Linked DNA regions of Schizosaccharomyces pombe. Changing the gene in region 3 together with the main gene of any one other region gives a genetic interaction. Each region holds a gene or a part of one and is shown on either strand. Other genes may lie near its edges.

Evidence for each region.
Region 1: of myo52 (region 3) and map3, changing one enhances a phenotype caused by changing the other (phenotypic enhancement), as found in Schizosaccharomyces pombe (one study listed by BioGRID).
Region 2: of myo52 (region 3) and rng8, changing one enhances a phenotype caused by changing the other (phenotypic enhancement), as found in Schizosaccharomyces pombe (one study listed by BioGRID).

What each region holds. Positions count from the first base shown.
Region 1 is NC_003424.3:2,831,879-2,837,610, reverse strand, and holds map3 (pheromone M-factor receptor Map3), read left to right. Parts: upstream 1-2,622; coding exon 2,623-3,720; coding exon of another isoform or gene 3,721-4,015; 3' UTR 4,016-4,081; coding exon of another isoform or gene 4,082-4,185; 3' UTR 4,186-4,380; downstream 4,381-5,732. Other genes in the region: vacuolar phytochelatin and glutathione S-conjugate ABC family transmembrane transporter Abc2, read left to right, coding at 1-343; his6 (1-(5-phosphoribosyl)-5-[(5-phosphoribosylamino)methylideneamino] imidazole-4-carboxamide isomerase), read right to left, coding at 3,637-4,015, 4,082-4,185, 4,442-4,512, 4,575-4,815; rRNA processing protein Faf1, read left to right, coding at 5,022-5,732.
Region 2 is NC_003424.3:3,852,352-3,857,439, forward strand, and holds rng8 (protein Rng8), read right to left. Parts: upstream 2,566-5,088; 5' UTR 2,510-2,565; coding exon 2,449-2,509; exon of another isoform or gene 2,395-2,448; coding exon 1,418-2,394; 3' UTR 1,220-1,417; downstream 1-1,219. Other genes in the region: transcriptional regulator Pcc1, read left to right, coding at 730-761, 839-1,073.
Region 3 is NC_003421.2:2,223,595-2,232,292, forward strand, and holds myo52 (myosin type V), read right to left. Parts: upstream 6,347-8,698; 5' UTR 6,138-6,346; coding exon 6,109-6,137; exon of another isoform or gene 6,050-6,108; coding exon 5,941-6,049; exon of another isoform or gene 5,932-5,940; intron 5,867-5,931; coding exon 1,454-5,866; 3' UTR 1,288-1,453; downstream 1-1,287. Other genes in the region: tif6 (translation initiation factor-like ribosome biogenesis protein), read left to right, coding at 36-663; BAR adaptor protein Mug137, read left to right, coding at 8,167-8,192, 8,259-8,268, 8,376-8,451, 8,495-8,542, 8,600-8,698. UniProt on the Schizosaccharomyces pombe protein: Involved in cell wall deposition where it has a role in the localization of mok1.

The DNA.
Region 1 (5,732 bases), on a different chromosome or scaffold from region 3:
GTATTCCCGTGTTACAGAAGGAGGAGCCAATCTTTCGTCAGGCCAACGCCAGCTGATGTGCTTGACAAGGGCATTATTGACACCCACACGCGTATTATTATTAGATGAAGCTACTGCAGCTGTTGATGTTGAAACAGATGCTATTGTGCAACGCACAATTCGTGAACGCTTTAACGATCGTACCATTTTGACCATTGCTCACCGTATTAATACTGTGATGGATTCGAATCGTATATTAGTATTGGATCATGGTAAGGTAGTCGAATTTGATTCAACGAAAAAGCTGCTGGAAAATAAAGCATCTTTGTTTTATTCCCTCGCAAAAGAGAGTGGACTTATTTGAGTTCACAGGTCGTTTGCTAATTTAAAATGCTTCTAATTAATTTTATGAAAATCCCGAAACTGTTATTCCTAAGCAAATTCTCATTTTGTTAGATTTACAAGTTACTGGTTTCTTGGTAATTTATATACTATTTTTTCTCAACTTGCTAAAAGACAATTTATCCGAATCATGTTATATTTTTTCTTCCCTTGTATTCAGCATATCTCTGTTTCGAAAAAAGCATGCACGCTGCTCACTTACAAGATAACCTTTTGTTGAAAAGGAAGATTTATTAACTATATATGATTGAAGATTTTTTCTTTTCAAAGGATATATAAGTTCTGCAAAGTTTCCTAAAAAAATCTTTCTTTTTTGTTTCTTACACCTTTTGACATTTATATTGGAGCCTAACGTTTTGCCGCTTTGATATCATTTATCCGTTGATTTTAGAAAAAAAAGTTAGGAAGAGTTGTTACCGATTTTTTCCTTCTTTTTATGCCAATATTCACTTCATCAGATTTAATTTGGCTACTTTTTTTTTCGTAACCTACTATAGTTATCTCATTATAGAATGAAATGAAACTCTATTATTATGTAGTTAAAATCAATGATAAGCACTGTATTAAAGTTTAAGAGAAAATCGCGAATTCCTTTTGATGTCCTTTTCTCAAAGGATACAAACACGATTTATAACACCTTTGCTTCAGACGTTTGATTGATATGCCTATTGTGATATACGAAACATCAGCATCAGGTTATAGCCGTGCAACATTTTCTGATAAATGATGAGGAAAACAGATGCTATTGTCTTGCTCATGTTGGTTCTCTGGGTTGAGATAATGAACATATTGGTATATAAAACTTGCACACGGATCAACGAGAATTGCTTACTTTTATTGCTCTTACATTTTATTGCTTTTATTTTATATAACATTGATTGCTCTCTTCTTTTCTTGTACTAAAAGAAATACAAACATACAAATATGGCTTACATGTTTTACTTCGCAGAATTATAATTAATTAAATACCCAAGTTATTCGTTAGCATGGTTGAGTATATTGTTTAATAATAGCGCTATTTAAGTCGTAACTTTATAGGATAAGTATTACCAGTACTAATACGTGTAAGAAGTTACCTAGTGCTATTGTTAACAAAATATAAGCTCGTTAATGTGAGTAACTTGTTTTATTTTCTACTTGAAATTTTTAACAAACAAACCAGTTAAAAAAAATTGATCTGGATCAATACTCCAGCTATTTGGAAAGAATTGACTTACGCGTAAATGTGTACGCGTTAATGTTTACTGATTTCGTTTTCGGGTTTAGAGAAGTAAAGGATGGAATTAGATTACAGGAAAGAGTATTTTTATAAATTATATATAAAGGAAGATATGACTAACGGCTAGTGTACCAATTCCATAATATACCGAGTGCAATTCAAACCAAACTCTCGTATATAGGCTGCGATTTATAAAGTAAAACTTCAGCGCATCAGCACAATTGTTCACGAGTACAAAATCTAAAAAGAAATTTTCTTTGCAATGCGCTCATCAATTAATATAAACGACCGCGATATATGAAGTCAAACAGTCGTTAAACACCAAAATTTCTTTACGTATTTACTTCGCAGATTACCCATCAAAAAGATATTCTATGGATTTATTAAAGATAAAGAATTCGCTTTTGATGCCTCAAATTGGAATACTATGCTTTAGATAATCAAATGGGCTGAACTCTTTGACCGACCGAAAATGGATCTCTATGCTGAGGCTTCTCACGGTAGGTATATAAAGAGCCTACTGCCCTTCTTCAATATGCCAAATAAATACAAACAAGGTTCTATACTCAACAGTAATTTTTCTTACTCATTTAATTACGAACCGTGCTCTGTTTTCGCAAGTTGTTTTCAAGTTTTCAAGCTTCGCGCGGGATATCTGGCGAGCGATCAAAGGTGTTTCCAATAGCTTTAACCTTTTCGTTTCCTGTCCTGTATTTTTAAATAATACATTTTCCGTGTCTATTACTTTTATTTTGGAACAATATTGAAGTTCAAATTGTACACGACTTTGGCAATCTTAGGAAAATCTTGGCATATACAATTCCAATTTTTGCTCTATCCAAATATCAAGACTACCATCATCACTGAATTTATACTCTTTTGTTTGCGCATCGTCTTTCGGCTTTCTTTTTCACCTTCTTTAATATTTTGAAATTCTATATAGGTCTTTGTGTACCATTTAATTTTTGTATCTTACTTTCTTTTATATCATATTTATTAGTTACTTATACGTTGAGTTTACCATGTTGCCTATTGGGATTTTCTATCAATTTTATGCTTACTTTGCCCTTGTTTTGTCTATCCCCATCTTATACATGCAGTTGCGTGCGAGAAACATTCCCTGCCTTTTGCTTTTATTTTGGTTAACCCTAACAACTCTCATCTACGTTGTCGAGTCTGCTATTTGGAGCAATCCCTACGCAGAAACAATTAGATGGATGGGTTATGGATTGTGTGATATTACATCTAGAATTGTCACATGTTCAAGTATTGGAATTCCTGCATCTGCCTTCACTTTGGTCCTGTATCTTGATACAGTCATTCGCAGAGACCACCCTCTCAAACGATATGAAAATTGGATTTGGCATGTATGCTTATCCATCCTGCTGCCATTGATTATCATGGCAATGATGGTTCCTTTGGAAAGTAACCGTTATGTGGTAATATGCATGAATGGATGCTACAGCTCTTTTTACCAAACGTGGTACACGCTTTTATTTTTTTACATCCCTCCATGCCTGTTGTCTTTTGGTGGCTTGTTCTTCGTTTCCCGAATCGTCGTGCTTTACTGGCGTCGACAAAGAGAACTGCAGCAATTTTTTCAGAGAGATTCTCAACTAACCTCAAAACGATTCTTACGCTTGCTATGTTTGGCAGCTGTATTTTTCCTCGGTTATTTTCCACTAACCATTTTCATGGTCGTAGCTAATGGAAAACTACAGCAGTTTTTACCATTCAACCATGAACTAGTAGAAGCCTGGCATCAGGAATCAATTACCTATTATCCTACAACTAAGGTTGGACTAAACGACTGGGTCCCTCCAACCGTTCTTTACCTCATGTCTTTGTTTTTCAGTACAAGTGGTGGTTGGACAGAAAAGGTTGCATTAATCCTTTGGTCTCTTTTGGTATGGCTTCCTTTTACCAAAAATACCGCGTTGGGTCGTCATGCACAATTCAAATTGGATTGCTGTAAGAGTATCGAATCAACTATGGCAGGAAAGACTTTGGATTCTACTGATTTTAAGGAAAAATGTTTAGTCTTGGAGAGGCAATGGAGTAAATCGTCGATTCCAAGCGACAACTCGAGTGAACTCCAAGACGCCGCCAAATATGTCTAAAGCACTTCCGATCGTTAAATCAACTTTTCCTTTACTCAATTTATCTACCAGATCCAAATCTTCTATACTGCGACCGCCTCCAGCGTAAGTGGTAGGAATTTTGACCCATTCTCCCAATTTAATTACCAAGTCCTCATCTATACCCTTACATAGACCTTCAACGTCTGCAGCGTGAATTAAAAACTCCGAACAATACTGAGACAGTAAATCTAAGTTTTCTTCATTTAGTTCAAAAGCAGTCATTACTTGCCATTTATTGATGGCAGCGAACCACCTATTATCTTTTCGACGACAACTGTAAGTTTTGTTATTAATAATACTCTTGGAAGTTTCCTCCTTTGCTCGCGAATTGGTTTCTTACCTCACATCCACAACCAAGCGGTCTTTTCCAATTTTTGAAGATATAGCCTTCAGTCTATCCAAATCAAACTGGGCATCTGGGAACAGCCAAGAAGTTACTATTACCTAGACAAAGTTAGGAACTTCACACTTTCATTTGATTGTTAATCATTTTACGCATCATTCTTTTTTTGTAACTTTACTAATGCCTTTGGAACACAACTCTTTTTATGAGCATGTATTTTTATGACCAGCTTTAGCTGCAATTTTTTAATCAATATTGCATACTCAGAAATGAATATACAAATAATCACATCCGAGATTGCTTAATGTAAAAGAAGATTAACGTTTAACATAGCATGTAAATTAATTTTAAATTTACCTTTGAGGCACCTTCTTGTAGCCAGTTTTGTGCATTAGAAATATTAATCCCCCCACCAATCTGAAGAGCACCTTCATTTGTAAGTTGTAAAATAATTAAAATTATTTATCCAAAAAAAAAATGCACGACATACCAGGCCATGTGTGCAAAGCCGTTTTAGCTGCTTCTTCGCAGTTCGGCCCAAGCATAATAACATGTGCTCCTTCGAGGTGATTCAATTTGTACAGTTCAGCATAATAACTGCTAGGTTTTAATGATACATAGTTAGTTTTCACGTCTGCGTCATTTCCTAATGTGCCTCCAACAATTTGTTTGACTTGACCTTGATGAATATCGATACATGGTCGAAACAAAGTGTGCTGCGATTTTTCCATATCTTCAAATTTCCCAATAACGTGCAAAACAAAAAAGAGAAGAAATGAAACAATCACAGAATTGCTATGTCTTATATAAAAAAATAGTTGAAGTGAGCAACTTTGAGACGTTACAGCACCAGTGAAGTAAGCTGTCAAATACAAACTCCACCATAAATTTTTATTTCATTCTTCCTATCACCTTCTTTATAATTTTGACAATAAACATGTCAGAGAATGCTTTATTAGCCTTACAGAGGCATTTTGAAGATCAATTTGGACACATCGAAGGATTACAACCTGTTTCAGCAAAGCCTTCTGAAACTGCTTTCAATTCGGATGCTTCAGAAAAAGAACAATCTCCAACTACCAGCAATGAGGAGGAAGACGCTATTTCAGATATGGAGGATAAAGAAGATGTGTCTTTTGGGTCCAAAATTCTACGAGTTTCCCATCAAGAAGTTGAGAAGCCAACTCTGTCAGCGACCGTAGGTCGTGTATCTTTTTTAAAAAAAATGCCCAAGTTAGAAGATGAAGAAGAAATTCTAGCAAAGAAGAGAGAAGAACAAAAATTGCGAAAACGATCTCGTCAAAATGATGATGGTTCAGATGATGATGAAGTCGAGAATCTAAAAAACGATTTAGAACTACAAAAACTTTTACGAGAATCTCATCTTTTACATGAGGCAACCTCAAGGACAGGTCAAGTTCAGTTGGTTGCTGAAGGAAAAATCCGTCACAAAGTCGTTCAGCAGCACATTGCTCAACTGGGCGGTAAGAAGGAAACCGAGAAAATGCCAATGGCTGCTCGTAGAGGAATGAAGAAGAAACAGAAACATATAGAGAAAGTAATTGAGAACGAAGCCCGGGAGAGTGGTACGGTGTTAGCAAAAAAACGAAAAGAAAGAAAACAGTTCAAAAAGGGATTTCGTCCTGTT
Region 2 (5,088 bases), on a different chromosome or scaffold from region 3:
GGCAAATTAAATACTATAAATGAATTAGCTGAATAGGTTTTAATTTACGCTTTGCCTAAAATTGGAATTAATTATCCAAATGTTAAATGTCGATGTAAATTTGCATAAAACTTATTTAAAAACACAAAAACGTGCATATGTATTTTTAATTATGTATTATGCAACTAAATTGACATAGCACAACAGCTAACTTGAAGATAACAATCAGTTTTTTTATGCTTTACCTAATTTATACTTTTGATGAAGTGCATGCTAAGAAAGAGCCTTTTATTTAGAACAAATGGCATAAGCCAATAAAGGTTTAATTTGTAAGCTTTTTCCTGGTCTATTTCTATTCTACTATAAGCGGTATAATCCTTAACTCTTCAATTATATTCTATAAAAAGATATATCGGTTCAATATGTACTATATACCTATAAAACTTCCTTGTTTTAATATAATGATGTTAATATTTAAAAGGGAATTTCGTATTCATTTAAAAGATTATATGTTATTGCAAATATAATCTAAGTAAGGTTCTTTAATAGCTATATGGCTTAGTACCACCTCAGTAGACAAAATTACATTCATTGGTCTTACAAAGCATTCTACCACTACTTGCATAAACGTGGCTTTATTGACTTTGTGCTTAATGAATATTTAATTGATCGGGATTGCGAAGAAGTGTTAATCTATTTTTCGATTTTTTAAAAAAGTTTGGAGTCCTAGAATACGATTTCCCTATTAAAATGTCAGAAATGATCGTGCTTCCTCATAAAGTGTAAGTAGCTATTTGTCGTTCATTCAGCTTCCCTTAATTATATTTATAAATGATTTGCTAATACCTGTAATATGTAGAACTGTGAAAGTTCCTTTAGCCAGTCGAGTGGACGCTGAACGATGTTTGCAAGTGTTAGCTCCAGATCGTGAGTTGAAAGAGGAACTAGTGCAAAGAAATCTTTTTGTTGACGACAACTATTTGGTTGTGAACTATTCTTGCTCTTCAGCGAGGATGACAAGAGTAACTGTAAATTCCTTGTTTGAGAACCTTTATTTAATCATTGACACTATGCATGAATTGAGCTCATTATGATAAAGCTGTGCTTCTAAAGATGAATCTTATTTTATAAGAAAAATGCGATCCTTCTATTACAGTAACACAAGTTATTTTTATGTCGAACAATGACTGAAGAGTATTTATTGTCTAAGCAAAAAAATAAAATAAATAATGATTTCTGCCCCCTCCCTTTCTTTTTACTAGTTTTTCAAGTTCTATATTATTTCTGCTGTATCTTGATATAATTGATTCTCCTTGCTATATACCTTTTAAACTAAACTAATTTACAATTAAAAGTGACCAAATATCTGTTCATGGCTTAAAAGATAGTATAAATATTACCAGCACCTGAAGCTTCACCAAAAAAAATAATAACGCTTTTAGCTCTCATTCAGGATAGATTTGTTAGAGCTAGTGGTGAGAGTAGCAAACTCACTCTGGCTGGTATCCAATTCATAATCAGTTTCATTAATAATACCGTCGGTATCGTCATCATTGTCATAATCACTGCTCTCAGCAAGGTGGGCAGTCATTTCGGCTAAACGATTTTGTGCGTTCTCTATGGCTGTGCTACTTTTTTCTAACGAGCTTTCCAGCTGTTCCATGTACTGTTGGATGAACTCGGAATAGATATCAGCATCCTTTTCAGCCTTCTCGAGTGCATGCATAATTTTCTCCTTTTCACTATTGCTATTGAACATTGAATCTTTTAGTGGTTTATCAGCAATCTTAGCATCAGACACCTGTTTTGTCAAAGTCCTTTCCACTTCTTCAAATGTGTCTTGTAATGTCCTTATTTCAGCATCCAACTGAGGGTCATGCTTCAAGCATTCATTCCTGAGCTCTTCATACTCTTCTTCTAAAGCTTCTTTTTGCTTTTCGTACTGTTCGGTCTCAGAATTCGCCCGCTCCGTTTCAGCTTCCAATCTTTCAATCTCTAGCTTTAATTGCTGCTGCTCTTCCAATAGGTCGGTTATTTGTCTTTCGAATTCTTCTTGGATTTTTTGTTCTTCTTTAGCTGCCCGCTGTTTCCGATTTACCATACTGGAAACAGACGCCTTTTGCATTTTAAGAGAATCATAAACATTTAGCAAGTTATTCTTCGCTGACTCCAGCTCCTTCCTTTTCTTTCGCTCTTGCATAAGTAAAATAGAAACCTTGTCTCCTTCTTTCTTTAGTCTGTCGATTTCGTTTTGCATAGTAGCAATCAATTGACCAGAAGACGGTTTTCTAGATCCTGTTTTTGCATGGTCATGAGGTACTCCTCTACCAATATACGTTGCCTCAATATGATCTGTCAATTTTTCTAAATCATTTGCCATATCTTGGAGCGTCGAAACTTCTTCCTTTCTATTTTCTGGGATCGCTATATTAGCGTTTGCTTGAACTATTATTTACTTATTTCTCTTACCAATATTATCATGAACTTGCTCGATTTCATGTTCTAATTTTTCGGATCCCTCTAAACCCATTTTTTACATTAAATAAAAGAAAGAGAAATAAATATGAATTAGACTTGCTTCATTGCAAAGGATAAGTTGCATCCTTATTTTTCATTCATTGTCCTAAAGCATTCATTTATTGCACGGTAAGTCTCAGTTGGACTCGATAAACGGTTTAAGAGGGTGTATCAATCATTTAGATGAATGCCAAGATTTGAAGAAAATAGTATAATTATGGAATTATGGAACAAATGATTATTATTCTACATTATGTGTATAGACACAAAAATTTACTTTTAACAAGTCTTTCTCTTTAGTTTACATCCCACTCTTAGAAGACCATGGTTTATTTTAATAATAAAATATGCCATTCTATCATCGATGAAAATTGAGATTTGTATAATAAATAGTTAAATTTTAGTGCGCCAAAAATTAAGGGCTCATTTATGCTTTATACAGACTTAGTTTTTATAAACGTTTGCTATAAGTAACAGCATTACATAAATAGCAGAGGGCTAAATGCTGGCTAGATAAATATGAATGTAAAGTATGTTAAGAAATATTGAAAGATTACTCTCATTTCCAATGCAGGATTAAATGAAGTATATGAACAGATTTTGCATATATACCAAAAAACTCCAATAAACAGAGTGGTGATTAGCCACAGATACATTTTTTCTGTCTAGGTATGAACAGAACTTTATTTTATCAAAAGATGGTGCATTAAACATTTAGCTTTTATTTCTCCTTGGCTTTCCAATGAAATCCCACTGCGACCCAGGAAAAACAAGCTTTCTAGGAAGTGTTATCTGTAGCGGAAGGCTCTTTCGTTTCCTCTGATTTCACAGACTCCAAAAACGACGGTCGCCAACGATTCAAAAGCTTTGCGGCGGAAGCTTTAACATCTACATTCTCTTTCCACATCGTCTCAAGAATATCAAGGCATTTTTCACGTACAGGTTAGTCGAAACATTATTAAATACTGAAAAGTCATGAAACCGAGCTTCGTCTTATCGGGATCAAGACATACAAATTTAATTTTGTCAACTATAGCATCGGTGAGTTCTGGCAATTCAGACATAAATATCATAAAAACTTTATCTTTTGCCTCTAAGTATGGTAAAATGCTGTCTATTACTTTAAGGGCCCATTTTTCATATTGTGGACCTTCCCACTTAACATCCTCATATTCATGACAATCCGGATTTTCAAGCATTAGTCGATCATTATACCATTCCTCGGATAACCAGTTCAATATTAAATTTGTACTGGAACGCCAGTTAGATGCAACGTAAGTAAAAAGCTGCCCTCGAACAAATGAAGACAAAGTGAAAGAAGCATCTCCAGATTCCTCACCAGACGTTACAGGCTGATAATTCAATAAGCCTCGCGTACAAAGTCGTGGTAAGAGAATTGCCCAGTGACGCTTATCCCATACCGTATTATCCACATTTTCCAACGTTAAATTTTGAAGGTTAGAAGAAGAAACTATGCTTCTTTCAAATTGAGGAGCATAATCAAATAATCTGGATAAGGCACCGTGAAAGTATTCTAGAATAGCCATCGGGGACAGCGAATCTGGAGTGGGTAATTCAAACGCATCAGTAACGACATTGGAGGGAGCACTTCCCTCTAGTCGAGCTGCTTCACGTTCTACACTAGCATTGATAGTCTGAACATCTACCTCAGGCGGTTCATAATCCTCGTCCTCGTCTTCATCAACTTGTTGATCAAGACCAAGGGATTCAGGCTCAGAGAGAGAGCGCACTCTCTCTCTCAACATATTAATTTGCTGATGAAAGTAGTTTTTGTCTATCTTAAGAAGAGAAGTAAGTACAATTTCAGTAGCCACTTCAACCGGAATTGAAGTTACATCAAAATTTGCAAGAGGATTTATAGCAGTTTGTGAAGCAAATATGCTGATTAAGGGATTATTTTGCAAACCATCGTGAGAGCTAAGTTGGGGTTGCATTCTTTCTACAAGACTTTGTACAGCAGAAGACTTAACACGCTTAGAGGCAGCACTAATATTTCCCTCATATTGCCGTTTCTTCAAACTTTCATCGACTTTGGTATGATAAATTTGTCCGGAAAGATAAGCGTGAATTTTTTCGACGGAAGAAGAAGATGCACCTGTACTCTTAGCTAAATGAAGTAAAATAAGTTTTAGATTTTTTTCAATACACCGTATAGCTAACTTGCTTTCGTTCGACAGCTCAATTTCATCTTTTGGATTCGGAAGATGAAATTCTAACAAGCTTCCTATGATTTTTGGTGCTAGTTCCTTCCGTCGCTTCACCAAAACCGGTAAGATATTCAAAACGCTAGTAATGTAAAGGACATTCAAAGAATCCGAGAAAAGGATGGAAAATATTTTTTCAATTAAGTCATTTGCTTCTATTCTGAGGATATTTGAATTGATAAAAGGATGATGTGTGGGAACCTTAGAAAGAGACACGTCCGATTTAGTTACAAGACGGGGATCTCGAATCCCAGGCACTTGCGTTAAAATTACACAAGAAATAAATTTAATACAAGAAATTAAAAGAGGCTTGTTCCCTTTGTCAAAGTCATTAATGATTTCGTTTTTTAGCTTCGTTAAAGTGTCC
Region 3 (8,698 bases):
TACATTTATCAACTTTTCACTAACTTTTATAACAGCGTGTTCGAGGCAGAGTTAGGTGATGTTGTACCCGTTGTTCATACCACAATTGGAGGAACCAGAATCATTGGTCGTTTGACATGTGGTAATAGAAAAGGTCTGTTAGTTCCCTCTTCTACCACCGATAATGAACTACAGCACCTCCGCAATTCTCTTCCAGATCCTGTCAAAATCCAACGTGTTGATGAACGACTTTCAGCTCTAGGAAACATTGTGGCTTGCAACGACTATGTGGCCCTTGTTCATCCTGATATTGAGCGTGAAACCGAGGAAATTATTGCTGATGTCTTAGATGTTGAAGTTTTCCGTCAAACCGTTGCAGGCAATGTTTTAACCGGTTCGTATTGTGCATTGAGCAATCAAGGTGCTTTGGTTCACCCTCGTACTAGCATTCAGGAACAGGATGAATTGTCATCACTTCTTCAAGTTCCTCTTGTTGCCGGTACCATCAACCGTGGTTCCGATGTTATCGGTGCTGGTCTAGTTGTGAACGACTGGTGTGCGTTTGCTGGACTTGATACTACGGCTACTGAATTGGCTGTCTGTGAATCTATATTTAAACTTCAAGATGCTCAACCTTCTGCTATTATAAGCAACAGAGACACTCTTGTTGAGTCTTATACATAAGCAGTCGGTGTGAGCTAACTAAAAAATTATTGATCAGGATTTATGAGTTTGGATAATTCATCCTACGTGATATTTTCCTATTAAAGTTTTAATGTTGATACGTTATACGTATGTATCTGGTTATAAAATTTTTGATATGCCTTTCGGTTTAATAGTCCTATCCATTGTGGTACCCAAGCTTCCTATTGTAGAAATTTACAATACAAGTTTTTTATAGACCATTATAACACTTAAGGGACTTCCGTAATCGTGTTTATTTTTATTATGTCAAATAGATTTTGAAAATGCTTTTATTGCTTTGCTTTTTGTCTGTTCTTAACACATTCGGATTTGTTAAGCTATTCTCGCTTATAGAGTAGAGCTTCTTGCTAACGCTGCATGAGACTTCGTACTTCAATTTACGTGTTTTATTAAGTAGTTTGCAGCCTTTATATTAAAAATGATCTAATAAATATACTTTCTTTTCAGTCTTTGGTGACAAACTAGTTATGGAAAGTATTTCGATGTAGGTATTTTTTGACTGAAACCAATGCGTACTCCGCAAGCGAAATAAATATTTAAGAATAAATTAAGTTACCAAGTAACTATACAAAGTGGGGAAGTAGAATAGACTACAATACTCATAGATATTTATATTTAGCAGTAAATAAAACTCGTAAAAGATTGTCATTATCAGGATGTTTTGATTAAAACTTCCACGGAAACTAAGGCCCAGCTCCAAATTTTGAAAGTAAAACCCCTAATTAGGGAATAAATAAGTAGGCAGAGCACCTTGAAAAATAACTAGATATTAAACTTTAATACCATTTGGTACTTGATTTTCTTCGTCGCTCGAGTTCTGTACATCATTGTCGGCTACGTTGCCTACAGTGATCAAAGCTTGCTCAACACTTTCTTCTGCACTAGCAAGGTCGATGATACGACGCAAATAGGTAACATTACAATCATCTGGTATCTTTATTTTTTCAAGAGATGGAGATTCCTCAAAACTATCTTGTAGTCTATAATCCAACACTTCGTAAGTAAGTTGTTCCCTTTGATTGATGCCTTCAGCAACAATATTTTTGGACAATTCAGACATAGTTTTTTTCGGTACATGAGCCTCGTAGTCAGCATAGTCATAACGATGTAAGAGTGTTTTTATTTGCAGAAAATTAAGAGCATAAAAGTCGCGGACCCTGGCCACATAATTTGGATCATCTTTCACAAATTGTAGTATCTTGGAGGTTTGTAAAAGCTCTTCGAGCTGCAAATAAGCTTCCGGAACACCACTTTCTAGACACCAATCCTTAAGAACATGATAATTGTATGAAATATTGGTACCACGTTTCCAAGATCCACGTTCATCAATAAAAAGTGAATTGAATGCCTCCACATTAATGAATCGATATATGCTTCTAATCAATGCATTATATATTTCATAATTAACTTTATAGGCCTGACAAGAATCATGCACCTTATTTAGTACATGTATTACATCGGTGATTTTGTATTTTGGTTTCTCAAAAAATTTAATCCGTAGTTTTCGATTCTCATCTCCAGCATCCGTATTTGTACCAGTAATAATCATTGCCTGAACAATCAATGGCTTTAAAAAATTATTGACTTGCCTAACCCATTCGAAAAAGATTTTTGACAGATGTGATTCAATCATCTCAAAAATGGTTTGCACTGATTCATGAGATTCGGTGGATAAAAGAGTGAAAGCCGAGGAATGTTTAAACGCCTGCTGCTTAGTATAAACAAAAGCCAAGAGCGCATGTGTATTTGCAACCCAAAATCCGATGTCAGGTCTCTCATTAGCAGATGATGTCTTTTGAAATACGTATTCTAAAGTGTGGACACAGTAACGCTCAACCAAGGCAACACTTTCCTGACACAGATTTGATTTCCACATTTGTGATATTATTATAAAAAGTAGTTTTGCTAAAAACAAATGATCAAGTTTCTGAGCCTCAACATCGTTGTCCTTTAGTAATAGAGTTTTAAGAGTTGTAAATGTTCTACCTGCATATTCTGTGAGTTTGTCAAGATCGTGCTTCAAGCCATCGTTCATTAATAGCACAAGCATCTCTTTTTGAGTACGCATTTCCATCAATGAACTATCACGACGTGATTTCTCTTCCGAATTGCGCGACTGTTCGATACTAGAGGCCGAATTCAGTATTTTAGTGGCTTTTGTCAGACTAGCAATTATCCTGTTTTTCTCTTTCAACTGAGAGGTTTGCTCAACAATAATCATATCGTAATTTTTAAGCTGCGACTTCAAAGTTGCATTTACTCTTAAAAGTTCGGTATTCGCATCGTTGACTTGCCTCATCTCCTCTTCCATCATAATCAAAGCGTTTTCTTTCTCTTCAAGTAACTCCTTTAATTCCCCATCTTGAGATTGATCCGATATAAGTACCCTAGTTTGCTCAAGTTCTCTTTCTTGTGCTAACTTTGCTTCAGCATAGTTGGACAGATGAGACTCCAATTCAGCGATTCTTTCCCTGAACTTGTTATTTTCCTGCTCCGAGTTGTCCAACTGTTTTGAAATCTCAAACAATCTGCTTTCAAGCCTGTAAGATACTTGCTTAAGGTGACTCGCTTTAGTGGATTCAATTTTTAATTCTGTCAATTGTCGCTTTGCAAGTTTCATCCTCCAAAGAGACTGGATACGAACTGCATAATATTGTAGTTCTTTGTAGTGCTTATGGGCTTTAAATGTTAACCAAAGACTTTGAATAATTAATGTTGCATCATGCTTTGTCTTTTCCTCTAAAGTCTGTCTTAATAAAAAGCCTCTAATTATACTTTGCACTTTAAGTATAGAATTTTTCGTTTGTATGAATTCTTTTCTCTTTAATGCAGTTCTCCAAAGTGACTGAAGTTTAATAATATTGGAAGAAAGTAATTCGTACTCCGTATGGCGACGAGATAAGAAACCATGAGCAACGGCTTGAAAGCTCCTGACTCTCTTCCGAGACAGAAGAAAACGAGTCCTATAGTAATTAACAGCAAACGCTTCATACAAAAGATGTGCTGCATGTTTCAAAGCTTTGTCTCTCGCACTCTCTAAAAGGGGCGTCACACCTGAACGAAAAAATATTTTAGTTTTGCCAATTTGATATTTAGTCGGATCAGCATGTTTCTCTAAAATTGCCTTGCTAAAGGTCAAAGACTCCGTAGTTCTTACGGCAGAGGGAACCAACATGTAATAACGAGAAACAAACTCATCAAAAGTCCAACGGGAGGGAAAACCAGCACAAGATATTTTTATAGTTTCTAAAACACCGCATGCTCGTAACTGAGAAACCACCATTTGGTTATCAAATTTCCAGGCTTCTTTCTCTTCATTTGGCTTGATACAACGAATATAATGAGCATTAGTTTCGTTGATGGTACTCATTAGACTAACCAAAGAGCTTTTAAACATTGAACCAAGAGTATTACTTTTTGGCTTGGTTTTTATTTTTTTGGTATCGGCTGGGGGTGCAGTTTGTTCAAGACGGAATAAAACCAGATCCTTGACAAAGGGAACGTCTGAATTTGTAAAAAGCTCCAACAACTCATCGGATATTGTATCACGGTTTTTATCAATAAATCCTTCGGCACAGTAAACAACGTCAAGAGCATAATGCTTAATTGTAAACTCCTTGTTACCAAACCTTGATTTCTGATAACTATTTTTGAATTCTGGCTTGGAGAATGCATCGTTCAACTTACTAACCCAATTTTCATCGCTGTTCGTGGGCATTCGGCATTCTTCGTCTAAAAGGGAAAGAATCCCTAAACGACTCTCAATCATGCTAATACATTGCTGATTGTCTTGATAATCAATATAGGACCAGTTAAGTCCCTCAGCAGCATACTCCTCCTGTTCCAGTTTGAAAACATGGCGATAAAATTCCTGTTGAAGTTTTTCGTTCGCATAATTGATGCAAAACTGTTCAAATGAATTTTTTTTAAAGTGCTCGAACCCATAAATATCTAGAACACCAATAAAACTTTTAGCCGTCTGGTTCGATTTATCAGCTGAGTACATCAAGGCTTTATTAATAGTAGCTACCAGCCAGTCGAAGAGTGAAGCGTAAAGGAATTTCGCTACTGAGTCTCTAGCTACTACAGCTTGAAATTCGTTCAATGGTTTCAAAATACCTTCAGAGGCCATCTTTATTTTACGCTTCGTTAACCATTTCACCAATGAAGAAGGATCCACGCCCAACAATGAAGTAGCGTTTATCAGATTTTCGTTTTTTGAATCAATGTATGCATCATTCCTTGAATGCTTAACCTCTATGTTACCGATATGCAGCAATGCAGCTAATAAGCTAAATATGCATTCACATGTATCATTATCAATGCCAACTGTTTTTAATGCATCAACTGTAGCTTTAAATTCCTCTTTATCATTGACGCCCTCAATTGTAGAACAATTTCCCTGTTTTAAATAATTAAATTCTTGAGAATTCTCAACAAGTTTCCACTTTTCAAGTTGTTCCGAGGATGAACCAGCTAAAATCTGATAGAAAATATGATAATTTCTTTCTTGATTAGGCTGAAATACTAATCTTGATCTTTCTAAAAGATAAGTTTGAATTTTAGCACCAATGATTGTAGCATTTCCGTCGAACAAAATTTGAATATATTTACCAAAGCGAGAAGAATTGTCATTTCTAGAAGTTTTAGAATTACCAAAAGCCTCCATAATCGGATTTGTAGCAAGTATCTCATTCTCGACAGCAGTTAATTGTGGAGCTTCATGAAAATTGGAATCGGTGGATTGAATAAGTGCTTGCACAGAAGCAAAATACCGCATTATGTATCTTGCGGAAACAGTTTTTCCTGCTCCTGACTCACCAGATATAATAATAGTTTGATTTTTATGCTCTTGATTCATGCACTTGTAGCTATCTTCAGCAATAGCATAGAGATGGGGATCTAGCTCATCCCGAGATTTCTCCGAATAAGCACGTACTATTTCGTGAGTGTACAAATTTGGCAGTCTCTGAAAAGGATTTACTGCGATAAGGACAATGCCAGAATACGTATAAATTTGAAGTTGGTTGTACCTTGTTGACAAAGCATCCAACACTGACGGCTCATTTAGGTATGAAAGATCAGTAAGGTCATCAGCATCCGAGTTAATGGATCGAAGAAACGGGAGGCCGTTTCTTCCTTCATAATTTAAATCGTCTGGCTTCACTGTAATAACAGTTTCCTAACAAGATCACATTAGCTAATTAATCTCAATTGACCCAAAAGGGATACCAAAGAAAATAATAATTTTCGTACGTTTTCGTTTTCATCTTGTACCGTTAAGAAAGCTTTCTCACCTTCAACTCGACAATCCTTTATGCTTCCAGGGATCCATTGGCTTTGCTCATCTGGAATCCAGCATTGACTACATTTCGCAACAACAACATTAGCAGGATCCTTTAAAGACGATTCTAATAAACTTACAGTCCCTTGTAATAAATCCCCGATGTCATGACCGGTAGAAATTACAAGACTCCCCGAACGCCTAATTTAAACTAAACACAGCGTTTTGTTTACACACAAAAATAGATGTTTGCTCAAAAAATGTCGCAAAACAATATGCAAATGCTAAAACTAATAGAAAAAAAGTTTACTAACGCGTTTACGTTATTTCAAAACTTTCTTCTTTACTTATGGAAAATACTCGTTCTCTGCTGATGTTAATATGGAGATGACTTCGCTGAGACAAAGTAATATGAAAAGCGAATTATGCAATTTGATAAAAGCGCATAGTGGTTTCACTAAAGTTCATAAAACCTCAAATAAGAATCAAACTTTTACCATTAAGAAATCACGCTATGTTATGATATGTTAACTATCACTATTTATTATGTTTTTAACTTTCAAGGTTGGCTTTGTTGAAAAGTACAATTAACATTTCACATTTCAATACGGCTAGTGAGTTAGTTTTTTGCTTCAGAATTACTATAATTGTTATTTCAATTATCAAGTATATAAGTTATTATAATATTAAATAATGTTAAGTTGAGCGTAAGAATATTTATTACCAATCGTAGTAAACATACATAAGATTATAAAAAATTGCAATAGAAACTCAACTACTTCATCGTATTTAAAAACAGTTGTCTGTTTACTATGCAATTTTGTAATTATTTTAACGATACGTAGTAATGCGGTGAGCTTTCCTTGCGACCTATAATATTGTAATACATAGGTTATAAAAGTAACAATCAAGTATAGGTATTATAATATAAAGGGTATATTGTTATCTATCACAAATGTAGCTTATTGCTGAACCTCTTTCCTCAGTTCAGTAGTAGCTATCTTTTATAGTATTCTAATAGCAAGAATCTTTATCGAACATCATTAAGATCAATTTCAATATCGTATCATCTATGGTACGATGACAAGTAGAACATGTGACATATAGTGACACTCGACGTAATGTATGATAGCGTAGTGCAGTTTTACTGGCATATTATCGAACTGCATTGCTGATATTAATAACTAATACCGAGCTAGCTACGATTTTTATCAGAAAACAGTATGCTAAATAAGGCAAACTAGTGCGGCTTAGAATTACTAGTAAAAGAGGAGGTAAGATGGTACAAACATGTAAATAATACCATTCAAAATCAACGGTTTGAGCAACACAATGGATTTCTAACAGTAAAACATCAGATAAAAAAAACAGAATATTATATATATCATAATTCTTTCGTTTTGATAGATAATTTCGTGCTCTCGTTATATATTCTTGTACGAGAATGATTTACTAAAACCGTTTGGAAACAGGGATATTTTCATAAAAAAAGCAACTAATAATCTAACGCTTTGACTCAAAGACAAATTCGATTTAGATAGTATATGTTTCTGTTTTCTCTTCAAAGAAACTCAGAAGATGATTACTCTCAAAATGGAGCATCAATACTAAATATTAATTAATTGGGCTATGATTTCGATTAAAAAAGAATTACAAAAGTAAAAAGTCTATAAAAGACATGTTTCTTCGAGATGAGAAGATGTTTTGGAAAATGTATAGTCTGCAGCATAAACCCAAAAGAGAAAAGAAGAATTATAAATGCATTTACATATTTTTAGGCCAAACTAATTATGAAAAACCAAATAAGGTAACTTAGTTAATAAAATTTATAAGGAATCAAGTTACTCAATACTTTTAGAACGTCTCAATTACAAACAAAAAAATGATAAACCTTCGACGTAACAACAGCTTCCCTCAAATCAATTATTTTTAACACACTTAAGAAAAAAAAATATGTATTTCATTACGTTCAACATCATAATAAACGCATCCCCTCCGCTTCCAAAATTTTGGGTAAACAAACAAACAAACATCGCTTATATAAGAACCTTCTCGGTAGAGATATTGATCCTTTAACACACACGGCTGAAGTGATTTAGTAAGCAAAGAAGTAAATTATCTTTTCTATAAGTATCGTTTATGCTTAATTGTAAAGACTTTTGAGCACAACGCATGCGTATGGTCGATGAACCATCAAAATGGTGTCTAGATTTTTTTCTTGGACGTAAGGAAATATTAAGAAGGAGAAAGGTTACGCAGATTATGAAGATTATTGACCCCTTTTTTTTAGAAACGAAAAAGTGAGTATACCTTTCCATGGCGAGTGAAACTGAGCCGATGTAGTGTTTGTTCAAAATACTCAAAACAACGAACGAAAAGAAAGGAATTGTATTACTGACCTTATTAGCCATTGGGAGACCAAAGAGCACACTTGCCTGATAGTTTTCTTGAACTTGAGCAAGAAATAGCGATTCGAGAAGAAGGTGAGTAAATATGCTGCAGACAAAGTTTCTTAACATAATGTAGGACTATCTAAACTATTTCAAGCAACGACAATATGGATTGATTCAATTTGTAAGTAGAGATACATTGACGCCAAAACAATTATTTTACTGTTAACAAAATAATTAGTAAAAAAGGTCGATGGTGAGGATAAAGAAAAATGTCTTGCTTGTGAAAATCTAGGGAAAGTGATGATAAATCATTCAAAAGAGTTACCACAAGACTCAA